Linked DNA regions of Mus musculus. The protein of the gene in region 1 purifies or fractionates together with the protein of each later gene. This does not show direct contact. Links are inferred from orthologs where the notes say so. Each region holds a gene or a part of one and is shown on either strand. Other genes may lie near its edges.

Region 1 (5,552 bases):
TTGGCAGCAAGTTGTGGGGGAGAGGGATAGGATATGTAGATGAAGAAGTTACAGGATATGCTCACAGATTTCACGTTGGCATGGAGGAAGCAATCAATTACAGTAGAGTTTGAATCTGGGTATTCTCTTACAGATGCGAAAGTTGGAAAGAGGTAACTCTGAGGGAGCGATCCCTGGTCTGTTATTGAGTGGGACAGTATTCCCTAAAATGTTTACTGAGTGTGCACTGTGTGCCTCTCGGCAAATGCTAGGAATATAAAGATGGATAAGATAAGGTTCTTGCCAACAGAGAACTACTTTTCGGAGTAGTAGAGGCTAGACGGCGCTAGCTATAAAACACAGGTTGGAAGAGCTGTAGTCAGCAGAGGTAAGATGGGGACAGAAGAGGAGTTTTTCTAGGAGAGAAGGCTTCAAAGAAGAGGCAGTGTGTTATCAGAATCCTTGAGGGCAAGTTGGAATTTGCAGTGACAAGAATTTGAGAAAAAGGGAAACAGTGAACAAAGCCCAGAGACAGTTTCCATAGCGTAAGATGGAGTAGAGCTTTAATGTCACATCCGGGCCCTAGGACATATTAAGGGGCATTGTACTGGCTGGGTTTGGGTGTCATCTTGACACAGGCTGGAGTTATCACAGAGAAAGGAGCTTCAGTTGGGGAAATGCCTCCGTGAGATCCAGCTGTAAGGCATTTTCTCAATTAGTGATCAAGGATGGGAGGGCCCATTGTGGGTGGTGCCATCCCTGGGCTGGTAGTCTTGGGTTCTATAAGAAGGTAAGCTAAGCAAGCCAGTAAGTAACATCCCTCCATGGCCTCTGCATCAGCTCCTGCTTCCGGACTTGCTTGAGTTCCAGTCCTGACTTCCTTTCGTGATCAACAGCAATTTGGAAGTATAAGCTGAATAAACCCTTTCCTCCCCAACTTGCTTCTTTGTCTGATGTTTGTGCAGGAAGAGAACCCCTGAGTAATACAGGCGTGCTGGCTAGTTTTAGGTCATTGTGGCACAAGCTAGAGTCATCTGAAAGGGAACCTCAGTTGAGAAGATGCCTCCAAAAAGATCTAGCTGAAGGGCATTTTTAAAGTTAGTGTATGATGGGGGCTGGCTCATAATGGTAGTTGCATGCTTGACTTGTAGAAGAAAGTGCCGGACTGTTTTCTAAAGCCTCCGAACCATTTGTGATCCTCCCAGCTGTGTGGGAGTTTCCTTCATCAGTGCTGCTGTGTGTCCATTGGGATTTTAGCTCTCCCAACAGTTGAAAGCAGTAGCTATCTCACTGTGGATTTCAGTCGCATTTCCCAGGTGGATAATGGTATGGAATATTTGGGGTTTCTGGTATGCATCTTTGCAAAAACCCAAGGGCAACTGCACATGGTGTTCTTCAGTGTACCATTCATACCCCTTTTCTTGGACATGGTGTCTCACCAGATTGGCATTCCACCAATGGGTGAAGCTGTCTGGTCAGTGAACTCCAGGGATCTGCCTGTCTCTGCTTCCCCACTGCTTGCTATGTGAGCTCTAGAAATTAAACAAGATTGGACTTGTGTCCTCCACGTACTAGGAAACACTTTACCAACAGAGCTGTTTCCTCAGCTCTGTAATGAATAATTTTTAGTATATTTATTGGTTATTTGTACTTGTGTGTGTGTGCTTGCATATTTGTATATATGGGTAGTATCTTGTGTGTGTGTGTGTGTGTGTGTGTGTATATATATATATACTGGTTTCTCTGATTTTATTTCCAAACTTGAAGCCCCATGCTTTTATGTTGTAGATGATTAATATATTTATGTATTAAGAATGTATCGTTCAAGTCATAAATGGAACACTTTATGAGGGAGGGCAGTGGTTTTGAGAATTATTCTAAATGTTTTTCAGCTGAGAAAAGATGACAGCAATCAAGCATGCGCTGCAGAGAGATATCTTCACACCAAATGATGAACGCCTGCTGAGCATCGTGAATGTCTGCAAAGCTGGCAAGAAGAAGAAGAACTGTTTTCTGTGTGCCACAGGTAGGTGGTTATTAAGCAAAAATATGTACTTGATACCTTCCTTAGGTCATACTCTCATTGTTTCTATAACTGGGAGAGTTATTGGGCTGATAAGTTAATTTTAATTGTTAATATTGATTGCTGGATGCTGTAAGAGAATTTTTATAGTGTATGTCTAAGGTGGCTGACAAGGGAAAAGGAGGACTCCGGGTGCGCAGTGTAGGGTGACAACAGCTCTTCTTTACCCCATTCCTTTCTGCTCTCCAGTGGTCAGTGTCTGGGATCCTGCATCTTACCACATTCCCCATGTGTAATTTCCATTTACTTGTCTTTAAACGTTTAATAAATTGAATTAAAATTCCTTGTGACCCTTCCCATTCAGCAGTAGATTCATGAGAATTTCGTTTTATTCTGGAGTTTTTATTGTTTTGTTTTTGAGACATGATTTCACTCTGTATTTCCAGCTGGCCTGGAGTTTATATTGCTCCACCCGCCTACGCAGTCTGCTAGCACAGCTGGCCATGAGTTGAATCTGTTCTTACACAAGGCTCTAACACCATCATAGTCACTGCCATGGCAAGCTCCGCTGTGAGTGTCCCATGGTCCCCATACCCACCCCACCAGGGTGAGCAGTAGGTTTGTGCCTGAGCTTTGCTGTTTAAACAACTCGTCTGTGAATGTGTTTGTGCTTGTCTTGTGCTTACACACCAAAATTATTTTAAGGCAGATTCTTGGATGTGGATTCTGCTCTAATATGCAGTTATTTTTAAAAGGGATGCTTTTCATTCCCACAGCAGTGTGGTTGGTTACCTTGTGTTCTCTACACCCTAATCAACAGTTGCTTCTGACAGACTAGTTGTCAGGATGGCAGCGTGACATAGTATCTGCCTGTGGTTTTGAAATGCACTTTCCTGATTAATGATGGGGTTGAGTGTCCTCTGTGAAGTGACTGGCCGTTTACTTGAGTAATGTATGGTTTCCTATTGGATTGATGGTCATTACCCAGATTTGTATAGTTGTTCTTAATTATGATTATCTGGGTAGGTATTATAAGATAGATCTATTAGCTGCATAGATATTTCTATTATGTGGTTGTATACTTTCTGTTTTGTGGCTTATCTTTACACTTTTTGTGGTTACTCTTAATGAAATTTAATTATCATTAAATAAAATTACTTTGATGCTTTATGGTTTTTACTGCATTATTTTGTAAAGGTTTTGATTCACTTGTGTCTTAGAGAGTGTTGTGTATTTGTATCTGTCTGTCTGTCTGTGTGTGAATGAATGAGCACATGTTTGTATTTCACGATTTTTTTTCTTAAATCTCATTTTGTTTTACTTTGTTCTTTACTCTTTCATCTTAATTTTAGAATCAACTTCTTAAGTTCCAGATTCTGTTGTGTTTTGATTGGGATTGTTTTTAAGCTATCTTTTAAGTTGTAGGGAACTTGCATTTTTATTAATGATGATTATGCCCATAAACATGTTTATTTTCTGCTTTTATAAGCCTTGCTGTTTTCTTTAAAAGTTTCTTCCTTTGGTCTGTGTGTTGTTACCAGTTATAATGTAACTTGATGAAACAAAATGGTACGTTTTATAAATGCCCTGTTTGCCAGTATACTGGTTTAAAATTTTGCATTCATGTTCCTCATTTATGTGTAGTTTTCTTCTCGATACCTTCGGCTGGTTAGCCATAGTTATTAAATAAGCCAGTACATGCCCCTGGTGTCCTCACTAGAATAGTTGTGTGTTTGGAGTTATTCTCTTCTTGCAAACTTGGCAGGAGAAGCAGGTAGCAGTGCTGGACTAGTGTGGGAGGTGGGGTGACGGCACAGTTTTGCCCAGCAAGTGTAGTTTAGTGCGTATCTTCCCCAAATATTCTTTAGTCCAGTGGTTCTCAACCTTCCTAGTGCTGCTACCCTTTAACACAGTTCCTCATGCTGTGGTGACCCCAAACATAACATTTTTGTTGCTGCTTCATAGCTGTAATTTTGTTTTCTGTAATATCTGTTTTCAGATGGTCTTAGGTGGCCCCTGTGAAAAGGCCTTTCAGCCCCCAGGTTGTGGACCTCTGCTTTAGTCCATTTGGGTATATTAAAATTTCTAAGAGAGTATTTGGGGGTTTGTTGTTTGTTTGTTCATTGTTGTTTGGAAAGCCATTTGCTTTTCAAATGTATCAGCATTTATTTCAAATCTAAACTCCATTCTTACGCCAGAGTTGTATTTTGGAACCTAGAGCCTGTAATTTCTCCAATAGCATCCCTTGCTGCCTCCGCTGGAGCCCTCGAAGAGCTGAGCATCCACCCTTTGTGGTAACTTCATTCCTATCCACCGCATATTACGCCGTGCTGTCTGTGTTGAATACTTCCTGTTGCTCTTCGTGAAGGCATTAGGCTCTTTCAGGACTCTCAGACTTATGCATATCAGTCACTAGATCTCTGTTCTTACACTCTGTAAGAGAGGCCTGAAGCTTTACCTCTCGGGCATCTCTCAGCCTCCAGCTCTCTAGTCTGGTTTAGATGCTTCCTTTAGGACTCTGTAACGGCCTCGGCTGACTTTTCACAAAGCATTGCCTTACTTCAGTGTTGCCGTCCAGGTTCCCAAGAGCCACATTTAGAGTGTGTGCAGGAAGAATGAGTCGGGGACTGATAGGCTAACAGTCGTGTCTGTGTGCTTTGTTCAACAGTGACCACTGAACGCCCCGTGCAGGTGAAGGTGGTCAAAGTCAAGAAATCCGACAAGGGAGATTTCTACAAAAGGCAGATTGCTTGGGCCCTGCGAGACCTTGCTGTGGTCGACGCCAAAGATGCCATCAAAGTAAGTTTTCCACAGTCCTTTGCTTGTGTTCAGGAAGAGTCTTTCTTGTTCCATAGAGCAGTGTGTGTCCTGAGATGGTCTAAGCTTGTTCTGTGGCTGCAGGTCTGCCCCCTGCTAGTCTAAAATGCGTTCATCTCTGCTTCTTCAGGCCTGCTATTAGACCACTTAATAATAATAAAACTACATACATGTGCTTGGTTCAATTTTTTACTTTGTTAAAGCTACAGTTATATTTGTGTTCAAACTACATAAACTAGAGCAAAATAAACTTAATACTATATATTTCTTTATTTAAATATACTTAATATAAAATTCTATCAATTAGTATGGATTTCAAAGTAATATGTTGTGTGAGTTAACTCTAAAATAGTCATTGTTTTGGTAAGCCTTGATTCAAAAGCATGTGTCGTACATAAGGGAGGGGGTCTTTCTGTTTTAATCCTCTCAAGTGAAATGAGGACTCCGCAGCTGATGGAGCCAATCTGGGCATTGGACATTTGTGGTTCAAATAAAGGAAGTGATGTGGGCTTACACACTTTATTTTGAGGTGATTAAATAAAATTTTAAAGCTATAAATTTTATACCTTTCTTTGAGTGTGCTCAAACTTCAAGGACATGGCATGACTCAGTATTCACATTAAAGGGCTCAAGGCAGTTGAGCTCAGCAGGGTCCTGTGAATGTCACCAGAGCTCTCTCCCTCTCTCAGTTAATGGGGCCCTCCCTCTACCTTCCCTCCTGGCTAGCTCTGAC
Region 2 (5,984 bases), on another chromosome or scaffold:
AAAATGCAGCACAGCATTTGAAGAGTCACAGAAGGTCCCTTCCCTGTGCTTGAGGTATGTGCATCTCTACTCAGTTACTAAGTTTCAAAAACCATCAGGGCAGCAGGTGTAGCAGTGGGTAGGGTGCTTGCCTAGTATGAGAAAGCCAGGGTTTTTTTTCTCCAACACAGCATAAATAGCATTATGGCACATTCCTGTAATCCCAGCCCTTGGGATGTGGAGTCAGGATTAGAAATTCAAGGTCATCCTTGGTTACAGCACCAGCCCAAAACCAGTCTGGGCTGAAACTTATCTCAAGAAAACAAAATGACCAAAACCAAATCTCTGGCATTCTTAAGGAGTGACATTGCATTCTTTTTTTTAAAACTCCTAACCTACACACAGCCTGAACTCTTCTCAGACAGGGAGTTCTGCATTTGCCAGAAGTCTCAGTGCCTCCAAACCCAGGCTGGTGGTGAAGTGTCTGCAGGGGCTGGAGTCACTTACCCGCCTACTGCTAGGATCCTTGGTGTGGCTTTTCAGCAAGACTTACTTCCTGAACATGGCAAAACACGCTGCAGCAGCAAATCCATTCAGTTCTGGAATATGTTAAAAATTCAACGTAGTCCTTGTGATTCTCCCACCTCCCCCAAAAAGATGCATCCAATTAGCCATGGAACATGCTACTTTTCAGTGACTTTTGGATGCCTGCAAAGTTTTATAAAGGCTTCCTTCCACATGCTACAAATACTGACAGACCTGAGGCCCACATATTGAAATTTATCCCAAACCAGTTTTCCCAACTCATTTCTTTTCATGTTGATCTGTCTCAGTACAGGACACAGGTGTGTCACACAGCACTGACCATTACGAAGCCATTTTGTTGACTTGGAATGTTTTACAACATACTTAAACCCTGTGGACCTAATATTTTTCTAGGCAGCATGGAAGTGCACTGCTCCTAGATGTGCTAACGTGAGAAGTGTCTTTCAAGTTAAAGAGTAGCCTGAAATGTTCTGGTGTGACCATACACTCTACTTAAAGAATTATTAAAAAACAGAGCAAGACATGGTATGTGCTCTTGACAGTCCCAGTATTGGGGGGTTGTATGTGATGCTTAACACATTATCTTTCTCCTTTTGACTGCATTTTTCAGAGGGCACTTTTATATGCTGTCTGTGTCTCTGAGGAATGTGCTGACATTGTGTAATGTAAATACAAATGACGCATCTGTAGCACGTGTACACGTACACACACAAAGACACAGAGCAGAGCCTCAGACCACAGAAGTCGTGCTCTCGGGATTCACCCGCAGGAGCCGGGATGCGTTCCGGAGGTCCTGCAGCTGCTTGGCGGGCTTCCCCACACCTTCCTCAAACCTCCTCTCCACCACCGGGAGGACAGTTTCATAGAGAAAGGATGCGTTCTGCCTGATGAAGGCCTTCTTCTCGGGGTCCTGCTCACAGCGCAGGCTGTAGTCCACATGCTGCACAGCCACCAGGATGATTTCTACCAGGCTCTCCAGGAGCACCATGTGGAGCTCAGGGAAGTACAGTTTCAATGCCTCCTCCAGGAAGCCCATAGTCTGCTTGGTGAAGGCTACCACCGTGTAGCTCAAGTTCACCCAGCAGTCATCTCCCGTGTACTGCTCAAAGTTACTGACCCCGCAACTTTTCATCTCCTCCTTGAGCTTGCCCAGGGCCTCAGGAGTCATCAGGTTCATGCGGCGCCACATCTCCTCCGAGTTTCGGTGCTTGGTGGCTTCAATGATAATCTCCTTGTAACTGTGCAGGGCGCCCTGGATGTCCTTCACCAGCAGGGCGTGGATGATGAAGGTGAGGTCCAGCCCAATCTCTCCCAGCTGCTGGCAGTGCTCCTTGGCCACCTTCACACACTCAGCAGCGGTGGACAGGCTCTCCTTGCTGTCAAAAACCTGCTTGCTGAAAGCATCCACGAACATGCCCATGGCCGACCTTGCCCAGACCACAAAGGCAGAGTAGCAGCCACTGTCAGTGCCTGCAAAGTCCGTCTCAAACTCTCTCGCGGTCTCTAGGAGGCTGGTAAAGAAGACGTGGCACAGCTTGTGAATGTAGAGCAGCGTGGCGCCCTCAATCCTGAGCTGGCGGATGGCAGTGTGCACGGCTGCGGCCCTGTTCCTCAGAAACAGCTCGCAAGCCTTCGTGCACTGGCCCAGCCGGATCAGCTGAGACACGGCTCTCCGAGTAGCCTTGGGGCCGCCTCTCAGAGAGCGATCCGGGGAGAGCTCAAACACAAGCACCTCGGTGAGCTGTCGCACTCGTTCGTCCACTTTGGCCCTCAGCTCTTTCACAGGAGGTGGGCTGGGCTTATCTTCCAGGTAGTGATTTAATTTGTCCAGCAAGTCCACGGCACCCTCAAAGTCCCTCTGTGCAATACAAACATCCAAGTCTTCCGGCAGCTCTTGGATCCACTCCATGGAAAGGTCAACCTTTTCCTCCTCCGCCTCAGGGGTGGCCAGTTCTTCATCATCCTCGTCCTCAAACGGGTTGCTGCCCTTGGAAGTGACCGGTGGTGGCGCACGCGGGGCTGCTGCCTCCTCCTGCTCCCGCCTCCTCTTGTCGCTGAGGGCCCTCTTGGTTTCCTCCAGCACTTCCAGCCACTCGCGCTTGATCTTGGCATTTTCCGCCTGGAAGATTCGGCTCTCGGGGAACATGAGAAGCTTGAACATGTCTTTCATGGGCGGATTGTCTTTGACGTTGACCACCGCCAGGCGGTCCAGCGGGTAGAGTGCGTTGTAGCGGTACATGCCTCGCCGTTGTGGCAGCCAGGTGGCCACCAGCAGACAGTCGTTCATGAGGAAGCCGTGCACGCGCTGCAGCTGGGCCATGTGGTCCGCATCGTATTCCACCAGGTCCCCGTTGTACACCAGGTACTGACCTGGCGTCTCCAACAGGTCCCTGCAGCCCTCCACCTTCTCCAGCAGCGTGGTGAGCGTTCGCTGCTTGCCCTCCTCGCCCGTCCCGGAACCCTCTCGAGGGACGCCCGCCGGCCCGGGCAGGAAGCCCGCCTGGACCGCCCCGCGCTCCCGCGGCCCCGCGCCGGCCGTGTCCTCACCCGCAGAGGCGCCCGCGGCGGCGGCGGGCAGCAGTGCCAGCGGGATGCTCTCCAGGCTGCTCTTCTGCTCAGTCAGCAGGTGGCTCAGCTGGTACATTTCGCTCTCCAGGTAGGAGATCTCCCGCGCCGTCTCGATGAACTGCCGGTAGTTCTGGTAGACGTTGCGCTTCAGGTTCTGTGCCGTCTCCTCTGCCAGCGCCTGCACCCGCTGCCGGTGCTCCTGCAGGTCGCGGTCGCCGTCCGACTGCTGCGACAGTTGCTTCACGTACAGCCGCGCCTCGAAGCCCCCCGACTCCAGCTGCCTCCGCAGGCGGCTCGCCCCGCTGTCCGACATGGCTGCCACTCGTCTTGCTCCCGCGGCCCGCAGTGGCTGTTACTCGCCGCCTCCGGGCCCCACCCGAGCCCGGTGGAGAAGGCAGCGGAGGAAGCGGGGCGGGAGCAACACCCAAACGCCTGCGCCGGAGCCGAGCGCTGCATTGCGCCTGTGCCAGAGTCGAGCCGCTCGCACTGCGCCTGCGCCCGGGGCGGAGTGCGGACAATGCGCCTGCGCGGAAACGGCAGCGTCTTAAGGCGCGTGCGCGGACGAGCCAGCACGGAAGTCAGAGGAGGGTCCGGCACGGACCAGACTTGACGTGTGTCGCCGGACCTCAGCGGCTGTCAGGAGACAACCGGCTGCCTAAAGCCGTCCCCAGCCCGAGCCCAGCGTTCCTAAGCCTGTGCCCGCGGGGCAGCGCCGAGCCACCTTCGGTTAGGCGTTCGAGGCTAGCCCGCGCGCCCTGACAGCAGGGCCGGGAGGCCTCGCGAGATCCGTGCGCCGCACGAGCCCGACCGGCGTCTTGGGAGCGGCCGAGGTGGGAGTAGCGGGATGGACGAGGATCTGGTGGTCGCGTTGCGGCTGCAGGAGGAGTGGGACGTGCAGATGGCGCGGCGCGCGGCGGCGGCGCGGGAGCCCGTGTCGTTGGTGGACGCGTCCTGGGAGCTGGTGGACCCCACCCCAGACCTGCAGGCGCTCTTCCTGCAGTTTAACGATCGCTTCTTCTGGGGTCAGCTGGAGGCGGTGGAGGTGAAGTGGAGTGTGCGCATGACCCTGTGAGTGCGTCCGCGAACGGCTCGGAACGTCGGGAAGGGCCAGGCCGCTAAATTGTCGTTGGTGTCCCCGCCTCGCGGCGCAGGGAGAGGTCGCCGGGAAACGTGCCCACTCCCCAGTCCCGGGCCCAACGTCCCTCAGTGATGAACCAGCCGGATCCCTTATCAGAGTTTGAGAAATCCTATTCGAGATAGTAATCTGCCCCGCACATACACTGTCACATAGCAGCTTGAGGTAAAGCAGGCTAAGACGTAGTGTACTTCTAACCTCATACCAGCCCTGTGACTGTTTTGGGAGAAGTGCCCATGTATGCCTGTGCGGAGGGGAGAGGGTGACAGTGGGTGAGGGTTAGCAAGTGTTAACTCTCTGAAGCCAAGTGACCCACTCAGGAAAGCCATCCTCCCATCAGGGACGTTTTCTTGTGAAACAGTTCTTGCCCAAGAACTGTTAGGGATTTGCTGCCCACCCCCACCCCCTTTTTTGTGGGGAGAGGGGAGAGGGCCTCACTATGTATCTGTGGCTGTCCTGGAACATACTCTGTAGACCAGGCTGGCCTGGAACTCGGAGATCCTCCTGCATCTGCCTTCCACGTGCTGGGATTAAAGGCCTGCACCACCATGCCAGACTAAGGTTTGCTTTTTGTTCTGTCTCCTCTGTATTCGTTGACCCTAATCCATTGTTGTGACTGTTTTCCAGGTGTGCTGGGATCTGCACCTATGAAGGGAGAGGAGGCATGTGCTCCATCCGTCTCAGTGAGCCCCTGTTAAAACTGAGACCAAGAAAGGACCTTGTAGAGGTATTCTTTGCATAAGCCTGATTCTCAACAAGTTGATTTGCAGGATTTATTTATTTATTTATTTATTTTTAAGAGATGGGTTCTTTGTTTGTTTGTTTGTTTGTTTTTCGAGACAGGGTTTCTCTGTGTAGTCCTGGCTGTCCTGGAACTCACTCTGTAGACTGGGCTGGCCTCGAACTCAGAAATCCGCCTGCCTCTGCCTCCCAAGTGCTGGGATTAAGGGCGTGTGCCACCACCACCCGGCTAGAGATGGGTTCTTGATAGCAGCCCATACTGGCTTCAACCACAAGATCCTCTTGCCTCTACCCAAGGGTTTACAGCTGTGCACCACCATTCCTGGCCAGGTTATTTTGTTGATTTTAAGAGACAAGAGTCTCTGTTCCTTAGGTTGGCCCTGGTCTTTATGCTTCTCTTGCTTCAGCTTCCCCAGTGAGCTGTCATGCCCATACCCAGCTATTTTTAGAGGGGTTGATGGTGAGCTGATCTCAAACGCCTGAGCTTTCTGCCTCCATCTTGAGATTTGCCATCACGGGTACGCACCAGGCTGTCGGCTCTTTCAGTGTTGGCATTTCCGGTTCGGCACCTGGAGTCTGGATTGTAGAGTTTTCACTATCAGGATTTTAAAGTTTTGTGTGGTTGGATTCACTGACCTTTTGGGTTTGGGTTGGTTAAGTTAAATGGGCCTTTGTGAAAAATGTTAATTCTGTGAAGGGGATTGTTGACTGGGTTCTGCAGAGCTTGGAATATTATATGTAAAGGTTTGTACTTGGGTCTGCAGAAGGATAGGACTGCAGGTTAAGAAAGAGAATTCATGCCGGGCGTGGTGGCAGAAACCTTTAATCCCAGCACTTGGGAGGCAGAGGCAGGCGGATTTCTGAGTTCAAGGCCAGCCTGGTCTACAGAGTGAGTTCCAGGATAGCCAGGGCTACACAGAGAAACCCTGTCTCAAAAGACCAAAAAAAAAAAGAAAGAGAATTCCTTTTATCTTTAGACATGCCCTAGAAAATTAATACGCTGGTTTTCTGTTTC
Region 3 (6,321 bases), on another chromosome or scaffold:
ACAAGCTAACAAACTGAACATATAGCTATCAAAAGAAGAAATGCAAATAAGATCCATGAAAAAATGTTCAACAACATTATCCTTTAGGAAAATGCAATTGAAACTATACTGGGTGTATGTGGTGACACACAACTGTAAAGTCTGCACTCAAGCCCTAAAGCAAAAGAACTATTGTGAATTTGAGGCCAGTTTGGGCTACACAGGGAGTACAAAGCCAGCCAGAGGTGTATGGCGAGATCTTGCCTAAAACCATCACACACACACAAAACCATCAATCAAAGAAGCAAGAATAGCTGGATAAACAAAAGTACATTAATATTCTATCTCACTCCAATCATAATGGCTATCATTTAAAAAAAACACGCTGGGAGGCAGAGAGATGGCTTGGTGATGAACAGCACTTGCTGCCCTTGCAGTTCTGGCTTCAGTCGCCAGCACCCACATGGTGGCTCACAGCCATCCATCCCAGTTCCTGGGGCACCTAATGCCCTCTTCTGACCTCTGCAGACACCAGACAGGCACATGGTACACAAGTATGTGCCTCAGTATGGAGGTATCTTCAAAACATAAAACTACCATACAATCCAGCTCTATCACCCAAAAGAGTCTATGTCACAAGCGAAAGAGATACTACTAGCACATCTGTGCTTATTGCTGCACTATTCACAAAAGCCAAGACACAGAACTGGCCTAGAAGTCCATCAACAGATGAATGGATAAAGTGCACAATAGAATTTTATCCAACTGTGAAGAAAGATGAAATTACGTCATCTGCAGAAAAAAGAAAGGAGAGAAACTAGAGGTCATTTTGATTAAATAAGTCATACTCAGAAAAACAAATATTGCATGTCTTCTTTCAGAGTTAAAGAAATTAGATTTAAGTACACACACACACACACACACACAGAGAGAGAGAGAGAGAGAGAGAGAGAGAGAGAGAGAGAGAGAGAGAGCATGAAAGTTAAAGGGGATTATGAGGTATGAAGAAAAGAGTCTAAAGCAGTGGTTCTCAATCTTACTAATGCTGCAGCCTTTTAACACGTTCCTCATGTTGTGGTGACCCCAACCATACAATTATGTTTGTTGCTACTTCATTTTGTTTGGTAGGTTGGTTGGTAGGTAGGTTTTCCAGATAGGGTCTCTTTATACAGCCTTAGCTGTCCTGGAACTTGCTCTGAAGACCAGGATGGCCTTGAACTTACAGAGATTCACCTGCCTCTGCTTCCCAAGTGCTGGGATTAAAGATGTGCACCACCACCACCCGGCTCCTTGCTACTTCATAAATGTACTTTTTAAATTTTTTGCTATTATTATGAACATTACTGTAAATGTGTGTTTTCTGATGGTCTTAGGTGACTGACCCCTGTGAAAGGGTTGCTCGATCCCCAAAGGGATCATGATCTACAGGATGAGAACTGCTAGTCCAAATGAAAGGAACTTGAAAAAACAGTAAGAAGAAAGACAAAAATACCAGGCTTTCATATACAGAATCTAGATTTAAGTGTATATGTACACACACACACATAATATATACTATACTGTGTTGACTAACTTTATGTTAACTTGTCACAAGACTGAGTCAACCTCAGTTGAGAATATATTTCCATAAAATAGGGTGGTAGGCAAGCAGGGTAGTGGCGAAGAGAAACTCAAGACAAATGCTCAGTCCCGTCATTTCTATGGTCTCCTACCTTTAGCCTGGCCTCTACAGAGGCCTTCTTCCGAGCTTCCCTTCTGCGATACTGCTCCACTTTGTCCAGTTGGTCTGGGCGCTGAAGCATCCCAGCAACCCTTTGGACTGCTGTTGCAACAGCCTCCAGGTCTGTCTCCTTCATTGTCAAAAAGCAGGCAGAATCTTTGCACATGTCATACCACAGGTACACTATATACACAAAGGAGAGGGTATGTCAAAATGAAGTGACGACTCCACATGCAAAGGTCATGTGCTCACCATGCAACTAATGGAGAATTTCTATGGCATTTAAATTAGCAAACTAGAAATGAAAGCTGAACTTGGGTCATAAACTCCTTAACAAAACTGCAAATCCTTAGAATTCAATTGCTAAGAAGATTTTACCTTAACAGAGAGAAGCAGGGATATCTCACAGGCGTAAGACAGTCACACAGAGAGTATTTATACAGGGACTTAAGACTATGTCAAAGGCAGCTCTAACACAATTCTTAGCCCTATAAAAGATCAGCTTTTCATTTCTGGAGCTCACCCTAGTGCTGCCCAAGTCCATGGGGTAGTTAGTCACTGGAAGGCAACAACTATTACCTACACTTCAGCAGCAGCCCAGTGGGCAAACACGAGTCTTATACTCCCTTACCATTGCTCTGGGTGGCCAAGATACCACTTCTTACTTTTGAACACTTCTAAAAACAAAGATAAGACAGCAAAAGGTAATTTATTGTCCTTACTTGAGTAGCTTGTTTCCCCTAAGCACAAATGTACCCGGTCAATCACCCTTTAGTCTAATATCTAATACTATCCAAGTCATGGACCTACAATGGCTATTTGCTGACTATCCAGCAAATGAGGGAATTAATAACACTGTTTCCTTTAATTTCAGCTACTCAACAGCCACAGATGTGATAAAGACCTACCTTCTGGAATCTTTCACTCTATTCCCAAGTAGTCTCAGAAAACCACTAAAATCCATTGTACATTTCCAGTTATGTAGCTTCTCCCTGTGTATTTCTCTCTTTGCATTTTCATTCAAGTGGAACAGCATTGCAAACACCATCTTCATCTTCTGACTATAAAATTACTCGTACCCAGACAGGAAATCTGAGCAGGCCACAGAAAGAGGATTCCACAACCACTTCTAACAGGACTGATTCACTGCGGGCTTTTTTTTTTTTCTTTTGCTTTAGTTTGACATGTTATCTTCAGCATTCCCAAAACATTAAAACTTGTATAATTCTATTTACAGGACTAGGTATTAAACATAATACCAAACCATCCCTCTGGCATGGAGTCCCCCACTCCAGCTGACAGGTGAAAGGCACTCCTGTGGCAGTGTTACAAGCCAGATGCAAAAGGAAAGCTGACCCAAAACCAAAAAAGCTTTGCAAGAAAGAGTCCACTCATAAACCTGAACACAGAGAATCAAAAACTAAAAAAACTGTACTGGATCGCCACCAAATCTGCTTCCAATGGCAGCTTGAGGACTGTCAGATTTCCGGCCTCTGGGGCAAAAGGGAACTCTGAGGGTAGAAGCAGCCCCGACCAAGGAGATGGGAGGGACGCACACCGAGGACAAACCCAAACCCGCCCAGGGACCCGCACTAGAGGGTGTCGCATCCCGCCAGAAACGTCGGCCGATGCTGTCCCTCGCCAAGGACAAACCCACTAAGGGGTACACTGTGCCACAGTCGAGGGCCCAGCGCCCCGCCCACCGCACAGGCACCCAAGGCTGTCAGAGCAGAGCTTCCTCACCGTCCGCAACGCCGCTGCCACCTCCCGGAGCCGGACCGGAAGTGTGCAACGCGGTCACTTCCGTTTCCGGCGTCTGGGCGGAAGGATGGGCTCTGGGTAACCTTGAAGGCGCTGTACGGGCGATCTTTCTGTAGACTCTTAGGAAACTTGTGCTTCTGGTGACACAGACTCAGGATCAGGGATTACAGATTCAGGCCTGGCTCCGCCGTCTGACGTTTGGCGCTCTCCCGACCCTCTTATTTTAAGTAGCACCTATTGTACCCACCCTTTCTCTCCGGATTAACCACTTAGGTTTGCCCTTGCTCAGTTCCTCCCCTTAGCTACCTTAGTCTCTCCACACCTCTCCATATCTTTACTGTGTCTTGTATTCAAGATTCCACTACTTATATTTCGTATATTTGTTTCTTCTTGCTGTCCTCGCCCTCATCCCCCAGAGGTTTCTGACAGCAAGTAGATTTCAAGTATTCAGGACAGTGCCACAGAGAGTGGGCTGCCTGCTGATAGCTGCTCGCGTAGCACGTAGAAGCGGCGAAGAAAACAAAACCACGAGCAAAACAGCAGCTGGTGGAATTACTCCAGCTGAAGGAAGCAGTGAAGCATCGAGTCGCCCCGGTACCTAGAACAGCCAGAAACTTTGTTCTACCTCTGCAGATACAGAGATTTCCCCACACTGTTACGAACTTTTAGTAAATTTTGGCGGGGTTTAGGTTCTTCCACTCACCCATCAGGTATGACAACCCTACCCTGACAGGTTTGGTTGTGTTTTTTTTTTTTCACCTTTTCTGCATACATTTGTTGAGTTGTGTGCCTATCCATAACATCACTACAAAGTCTGGCTCTCCCAAGCCAATGGATGATGGGGTAAATCTTCAGTAAATGAAAGAACAGTATAGGTAACCTGTCATAACCACAATGCAAATTATATGATGAAGTCAGTCTTTTAAAGATGCAGACCCTCCCTTAGTGTAGGGGTTGCAACTGGGAAAGTGCCCTGACCCCTTAGTTTATGACAAAACAGGAGAAATTTCAGCTTCATGAATGTTTAACTGCAAAGTGGGGAGGCACAGCTACCAAGACAAAGCTGCGGTTTTCCTTAGTTACCTTATATCCAACCCTAATCTCCTGCTGCCCACTATATAGTGGAGTGTTTAGTCATGGTGCTCCCTAACGAATTCAGTTAACTAGCCTAGTTAGATGTGAACTGCTTCAGTAGATGACTCAGCTTGTTTCCTTTCAATTAAATAAATAAAATAAGAATCTCAGCTTTTGTTTTTGGTAAGCCACAGAGTGACAAAGCTCAGGATACTTTTGAGTGTACAAGTAAGTTCATAGGTAGGCCTAGGAATGACCAGAGCCAAAGTAGGGAAAGAAAAAAAAAAATGAAGCAGTGACTAAAGGTTCTGCAGCCCTGAAGCAGGGAGAGTAGCCCCAAAGCCATTTTTACACCTGCCCACACAAAGGAGAAGGCATGGGTTCCAAGTAGGTGAAGAGCATATGGAGAATCCTAGAAACCCAGATGATCACCTTAGAGCTTCCTTGGTGAACAGGTGGGTCCAGAAACACAACAGAACCAATCTATCCTGGGGATGGCTAGAAGGCTACATGGCTATGCTAGGCCCTGAAGTAGAGAAGGCTGCCAAAGACACTGCACTTGGGACAGATTCCTCCTCTTCAGTGTGAAGAGTAGTGCTAAGGCCTAGCCTTTGGCAAAGAAAATCCAGAAGGGCTCTTTGGGCCCCCTCAATCTTAATAGAAGTGAGTCTTAATGTGGCCAAAACTTGTTCATGTTCTCAGAGGCCAGACTTCTTGATGAGCTACACAGTAGATGTTATTAAATATGCACCAAAGAGATAGAATTGTAGCCTCCAAACAAGTAGAACAGAGACAAGGAAGAGAGCATAGAGGATTTCAGACCGAAGAGAATGTGGGAAAAGGGAGACTTGATGCATAATTAAGAACAGAGTGGGAAGTACAAATATGTTCAGATGAGTGCAGGTAAGTGGATTAAGCAAGGTGAAACTGTTAAAAGAGAAAATTTAAAACATAAGGAAACAAAGGGGTTAGTAGTGGAGGAAGTTTTCTCATAATAGCCAATTAAAGCCTGAAAAAATTTGTGGATGGTGACATTAACATCAACTTCCCAGGTTTTGTCAAAAGCCACAGAGACTGTTGTGAAAATACAAAGTACATGAGCCATAAAGAAAAAAAGGTTAAAATGTATCTATTGCAGAATAAAAATATCATTGGGTGAAAAGATCCCTCTGCTCTGCCTTGCTCTGGGATGTCCTAGGGCACAGGAGGCTCCTGACCCCACCCCACCCCCGTGAGAGCAGAGGAGGACCCAATACCAACCCTTAACTCCAACCTTTCTACTTTCACATTTATTATCCCCTTCTGCAATCCTAGAACGTGAATCCAAAACACCCTCTGAAGGAAAAGGCACACAATCTCACACTAAATACATAGAAATATGAGATTTATTTTACACAAGTTTTGCAAATGTAGTACAAACCACCACATGAGAAATGCATCTGGATTCTCTGTTAAAACAGAGCACCAAGAAAACAGCACAGACAGCTGCACTGTAGTGTATGCCTAAAGTTCTTGAGGACTTTCCCCCAGTCGAATCTGCAAATATAAGGGCACTTTGTATTTATTCCTCCCCAGCCCATCTCTCACTACATTTAATTTTTGATATTTTTTTTAGCCATATAGGCAAAAGCTAGCTATCACAAAAAACCATGAACTTGTAGTTAGTGTATATGGTGAAATGCTAAAATAGGAACAACCTCTCTTCGCTTCCTGTGCAAGCTGACTGGAGATTTGTGATGAATGAGCAAAAGTGCAAGTTGGGGAGATTTGATCTTCATTAGACAGCA

What was found. The genes of interacting proteins can lie anywhere in the genome.
Region 2: the proteins of Exoc1 (region 1) and Exoc8 purify together in Homo sapiens (affinity purification with mass spectrometry; 3 studies listed by BioGRID and IntAct, counting the BioPlex papers as one, with this or other methods). This does not show direct contact. The link is inferred for Mus musculus from reciprocal best matches to the Homo sapiens genes EXOC1 and EXOC8.
Region 3: the proteins of Exoc1 (region 1) and Exoc3 purify together in Homo sapiens (affinity purification with mass spectrometry; 5 studies listed by BioGRID and IntAct, counting the BioPlex papers as one, with this or other methods). This does not show direct contact. The link is inferred for Mus musculus from reciprocal best matches to the Homo sapiens genes EXOC1 and EXOC3.

What each region holds. Positions count from the first base shown.
Region 1 is NC_000071.6:76,530,884-76,536,435, forward strand, and holds part of Exoc1 (exocyst complex component 1), read left to right. Parts: intron 1-1,871; 5' UTR 1,872-1,881; coding exon 1,882-2,005; intron 2,006-4,670; coding exon 4,671-4,801; intron 4,802-5,552.
Region 2 is NC_000074.6:124,894,221-124,900,204, forward strand, and holds the start of Exoc8 (exocyst complex component 8), read right to left. Parts: upstream 3,486-5,984; 5' UTR 3,407-3,485; coding exon 1,256-3,406; 3' UTR 1-1,255. Other genes in the region: Sprtn (sprT-like domain-containing protein Spartan), read left to right, coding at 3,938-4,161, 4,856-4,955. UniProt on the Homo sapiens protein: Component of the exocyst complex involved in the docking of exocytic vesicles with fusion sites on the plasma membrane.
Region 3 is NC_000079.6:74,205,216-74,211,536, forward strand, and holds the start of Exoc3 (exocyst complex component 3), read right to left. Parts: upstream 3,486-6,321; 5' UTR 3,443-3,485; exon of another isoform or gene 2,608-3,442; intron 1,883-2,607; 5' UTR 1,866-1,882; coding exon 1,692-1,865; intron 1-1,691. UniProt on the Homo sapiens protein: Component of the exocyst complex involved in the docking of exocytic vesicles with fusion sites on the plasma membrane.